2 linked regions of the Saccharomyces cerevisiae S288C genome follow. The protein of the gene in region 1 interacts with the protein of each later gene in a biochemical or structural test. Each region holds a gene or a part of one and is shown in the gene's direction. Other genes may lie near its edges.

Evidence for each region. Proteins that work in one complex are often made in the same cells at the same time.
Region 2: the proteins of UBC11 (region 1) and APC11 form a complex in vitro, tested with the Saccharomyces cerevisiae proteins (one study listed by BioGRID).

Annotation. Positions count from the first base shown.
Region 1 is NC_001147.6:957,698-960,494, reverse strand, and holds UBC11 (putative E2 ubiquitin-protein ligase UBC11), read left to right. Parts: upstream 1-1,662; coding exon 1,663-2,133; downstream 2,134-2,797. Other genes in the region: DNA-directed RNA polymerase I subunit RPA43, read left to right, coding at 313-1,293; YOR338W (uncharacterized protein), read right to left, coding at 2,506-2,797.
Region 2 is NC_001136.10:431,664-434,494, forward strand, and holds APC11 (anaphase promoting complex subunit 11), read left to right. Parts: upstream 1-1,833; coding exon 1,834-2,331; downstream 2,332-2,831. Other genes in the region: glutathione-disulfide reductase GRX6, read left to right, coding at 667-1,362; YDL009C (uncharacterized protein), read right to left, coding at 1,262-1,585. UniProt on the Saccharomyces cerevisiae protein: Probably catalytic subunit of the anaphase promoting complex/cyclosome (APC/C), a cell cycle-regulated E3 ubiquitin-protein ligase complex that controls progression through mitosis and the G1 phase of the cell cycle.

The DNA of each region.
Region 1 (2,797 bases):
TCAAGGCCCCGTAATAGATGTATTTCAGGTAGAAGAAACTTGGTGGAATCTTGCTTATTCCAGCTGCAAGTGTATCCTTTGTGTATTCTTGACAGAAAATATTACTGTCGCTTTGAAATGAAAAGATTCCGATGAGGGTGTATGGGTGGTTTGAAAAAAATTTTTCTGCAATAAAATACTAATGGCATCGCAAATATGACAATGTAGTGGAGGTTTACAATAAAATAGAGCCGAAGGGACTATCGTTATACACTCCCTCGTTTTTTTGCTTATATATAATAATATCAGAAAGATAAGAGACAAACGTGGATTATGTCACAAGTAAAAAGAGCCAATGAGAACCGCGAAACCGCAAGGTTCATCAAGAAACACAAAAAACAGGTTACAAACCCAATTGATGAGAAAAATGGAACTTCCAACTGTATAGTGCGTGTTCCCATTGCTCTCTATGTTTCTTTGGCACCAATGTATTTAGAAAATCCCTTGCAAGGTGTCATGAAGCAGCACTTGAACCCATTAGTAATGAAATATAACAACAAAGTTGGAGGTGTTGTGCTAGGTTATGAAGGGTTGAAAATTCTTGATGCTGATCCTTTAAGCAAAGAAGATACATCAGAAAAACTAATAAAAATCACACCCGATACCCCTTTTGGATTTACTTGGTGCCATGTAAACCTATACGTTTGGCAGCCACAAGTTGGAGATGTTTTGGAAGGTTACATTTTCATTCAATCCGCCTCACACATTGGTCTTTTGATTCATGATGCGTTTAATGCTAGTATCAAAAAGAATAATATCCCTGTGGATTGGACCTTTGTCCATAACGACGTGGAAGAAGATGCTGACGTGATAAACACAGATGAAAATAATGGAAACAATAATAACGAAGATAACAAGGATAGCAATGGTGGAAGCAATAGTTTGGGCAAATTTTCCTTTGGAAACAGATCTTTGGGCCACTGGGTAGATTCTAATGGTGAACCCATTGACGGTAAATTGAGGTTCACAGTGAGAAATGTTCATACTACAGGAAGAGTTGTTTCTGTGGACGGTACATTAATAAGTGACGCCGACGAAGAAGGCAATGGCTATAACAGCTCTCGTTCCCAAGCTGAAAGTTTACCTATAGTTTCAAACAAAAAAATTGTATTTGATGACGAAGTTTCAATCGAAAACAAAGAGAGCCACAAGGAACTAGACTTACCTGAAGTAAAAGAAGATAATGGTTCAGAGATCGTATACGAGGAAAACACCAGTGAAAGCAATGATGGTGAATCGAGTGATAGTGATTAGGACGGGAAAAATGAGAAAAAATCAAAACAAATAAAGATATACGTTATTGATATAGGATAATATAAATAATTGTACATTATTACAGTGCTGATAATCAATAGTCCTGCATACGTAGCTAAACCGTGGCAAATTCGACAATATATCAACAGTAATGAAGCTTAATTTGAAATATTTTTCCTTTATAACGTTAATGGACTCTTTTTAATGATGTCATTATTAGAAAGAGATTTTCAAGGAAAAAGCGTTGACTAATAGCGACACAAAACATGCTTCTGACACTGGATAAATGAGATATCAGAAAAAATTTTTCATATTTTACATCTTATAGGTGCTACAAAACCTGTATGATTCGAGGCTTGCTAGTATAGAATGGCAGTAGAAGAGGGTGGTTGCGTGACGAAACGTTTACAAAATGAGCTGCTACAGCTACTTAGTTCTACAACAGAAAGTATTAGTGCGTTTCCCGTAGACGATAATGATTTAACATACTGGGTAGGGTATATTACAGGCCCTAAAGACACACCGTATAGTGGACTTAAATTCAAGGTTTCATTGAAGTTTCCTCAAAACTATCCTTTCCATCCGCCAATGATTAAATTTTTGAGTCCAATGTGGCATCCAAACGTGGATAAGAGTGGCAACATTTGTTTGGACATTCTGAAAGAGAAATGGTCTGCAGTGTATAATGTAGAAACAATTCTATTGTCATTGCAGTCATTACTTGGCGAACCAAATAACAGATCTCCGCTGAACGCTGTGGCAGCAGAACTTTGGGATGCAGATATGGAGGAATACAGAAAAAAGGTCCTGGCCTGTTATGAAGAAATCGACGATTACTGAGTTAACCTAAGTTAGACGAAAAAATGATGTGACAGAAAAGCCACAGACTCTCAAACTCCAATGCTATTTTTCTACGGCGTTCATAACCCGTAATAATTCAATAACAAAATTGATAACGTAACAACCGAAGAAATATAATTAATATAAAAAGAAAACCTCATATATGAACGAAATCTATATGTAAAAAACCATAAATAAAAATATATCAAATGTGTTCTAAGAATAAAAAACCGTAACCGTAACCCTTAACCATAACCATTTAAACGCCTCAATTCTGTATTACTCAATGAGACTGTCATATTCCGTACTTATCAAATTTGCTCGTTTAAACGATGAAACGATACGCTATCCCAAAGGCGTACCGCCTCTTTCTTACAAATACTTTTCAAAATGTTTATCTTGTAACCAACCTACCTTTTCAAATGCTGCAAATAGCCTTGATGCTTTATTAACGTCTATTCTACAAGCCTTTTGAGCATCCGTTCTCCTGAACGGCAACCCCTTTTTGAATCTATGAACTTTTTCCAAGAAAAATCTTCTTTTAGAGTCCAAATAAAGATCACATGGAAGTCTCAGAATCTGTGCGAGAACTAGTTCTGCAGGATGCAGACGCTGTTTGAGAGGATCATGATTCAAGTCCATTGGAGAGCCTTTCCATTCCACT
Region 2 (2,831 bases), on another chromosome or scaffold:
AAATATTCTGGACTAGGTGGAAGGAAGCTTCGAGAACTCACCGTGGCTATTCAAGGCTGATGGACATATGTACTGGGCTGAGCTTAAGATCTCCCATTACTGCTCCGTGGGGTTTTATGTGAAATGTGGCGTTTCAGCAGTTTTTAGTTGGCTAATTTCCTAAAAGTAGTAATTAGTTTCTTATGATGGATTTAATGGCGTAGTTCATCCGCGTTTAATTTAACTAGAGGATAATCTACTTGCAGCATGAATGAAAATAGTAAGCCAGTAAGGATGCACTGACAGACTCAGCTACCGATTAGTGTTGTTGACTTTTCCGCAAGATCCTTTTCTCCCTCTTTGGACCTAGTCATCCCTCCACACAAGATTCGCTCTTAAGTAGTGGCGCAGGCTGTTCGCTTTTAAGCATAGTGCTTAATGTCGAAGGCTTTATAGATCCCAAATACTACGCCTTGAGAAATTGAATGCACTAGCAGTTAGTTAACTTTCTGGAACGCGCATGACGCGTCCCGGGGCGCCTGAGGCGGAGCGTTCGCGAAATCGGGAAAACATTATACTGGGAAAGATCACTATCTATTCTCTAAATGAACTTTTAAGCAAATTATCGTAAGATAGAAAAGACGAAACCTTAGCAACCTAGCGGTTTAATATAGAAACAATTTTATTATGATACCTTCCAATAAGAGAAATGCTAGAATTTTAAGCATTACAACGCTATTATTGTTGTTAGTGTTTTTCGTAGCGCAAAATGCGAACTTCTTGACGGTAGAGATAAAAGAGGAAACTTCTAAAGCATTTAGTACTAATATGGACAATATGGCTGGAGGATCTTCCAGGGAATATGCTGCTATGCCGACTTCTACCACGAATAAGGGGAGCTCTGAAGTAGACGAAGAAATTAATGAAATAAAACAGAAGGTGGGACTCCAACAGCCCATAGCATCGGTTGATGATAGTTTGTCGGCCATTAAAAACGATAAAGGGTCGCGAATAACCAAAGCTTTTAATGTTCAAAAAGAATACTCCCTCATACTAGACTTGTCTCCGATTATAATATTTAGTAAAAGCACCTGTTCATATAGCAAGGGCATGAAGGAACTGCTTGAAAATGAGTATCAGTTTATCCCAAACTACTATATTATAGAACTTGACAAACATGGACATGGGGAAGAGCTGCAAGAATATATCAAGTTGGTGACCGGTAGAGGAACTGTTCCAAACCTTTTGGTTAATGGAGTATCAAGAGGAGGTAATGAAGAAATCAAGAAACTGCACACTCAAGGGAAACTTTTAGAATCATTACAAGTCTGGAGTGATGGTAAATTCTCGGTTGAGCAACGTGAAAAACCTTCCAATAATTGAAATTGTTACAAAAAGGAAAGAAGAAAAAATTAAGAATAAATATATAAATAAAGAGGTCGTGAATGATTAGGTCGTGAAATGCAGTGTAGTTGGAAAGGCGTAGTTTTCCTAGCACAAGGCGTTTCGGAGTTGGAATAAAGAAGCTATCACCAACGAAGAAGCTTTTTTGTCCAAGACATCTCTTAAAAGGGTTGTGAAAACATAAAACGCTTAATGCCTTCATATATACATATATAAGTTTATGGTTTCGATGTTTACAATAACTTCTATCCTTTGCTGGTCCATGCACTTCACCTTGGTAAGTTATGCAACGCACTTTTGTCTACGCCTGCATTCGATATAAAGGGTAAGCTGCCGAGATAACTTTTGTATCTTCCGTGTCTGCAGATAAAAAAATAATGCATTCTTCAAAAACTTTGTACAATATCGGGAGAGTTTAACAAGCAAAGTGGCAATACAGATTATAAAAATATGAAAGTTAAAATAAACGAAGTGCACAGTGTGTTTGCTTGGTCATGGCACATCCCTAGCACATCTGATGAGGACGCAGCCAATAACGATCCAATTGGCAATGATGAAGACGAGGATGTCTGTGGTATCTGTCGTGCCAGTTATAACGGTACCTGTCCAAGCTGTAAATTTCCAGGCGATCAATGCCCTTTAGTGATTGGGCTATGTCATCATAACTTCCATGATCATTGTATATACCGTTGGCTTGATACACCAACCTCAAAAGGACTGTGTCCGATGTGTAGGCAAACTTTCCAGCTACAGAAGGGTCTAGCAATTAATGACGCTCATGTCCAAAAGTTCGTTGAAATAGTTTCAAGAAGAAGAGAAGAAATGATAGAGGAGGGCGTCGCAGAAGAGTTTGTGGACTTTGATGAACCAATAAGGCAAAACACCGATAACCCAATCGGTAGACAGCAAGTTGATACCATCCTGGACGAAGACTTTTTGTTACGATAAAAAAGAAACTTAGAAATCACAATTAGCTATATTTCCATACGGTTCTTTTCTTGTGAACGCTGTTAACATTCTGTATACTTAAATGAAAATTTAATATTGATTTTTTCTTGTTGCAGCTAAAGATAAAAAAATTTTCTTTTCCAATCGTTGAATAGATGTACTGTAGCCGGAACTGAAGTTAAGGTTGTTAGATTGAAAAAGAACAACAGTGTACTAATCATGCTAACGATGACAGCGGTATCGTTGCATACTTAGAATACATAAAAATATGCTTCCAATCGGATTTGAACCGATGATCTCCACATTACTAGTGTGGCGCCTTACCAACTTGGCCATAGAAGCTTCTGATTTGTGTTCATTTGATTGTAAGTTAGAGTATTTCAAGCTCTAACTCAATTATGTGAACTTTCATAAAATTGTGTTATTTTTGAGAAATATGTGAGTTGTTAGATAATTGTTGGGATTCCATTGTTGCTAAAGGCTATAATATTGGTATACAG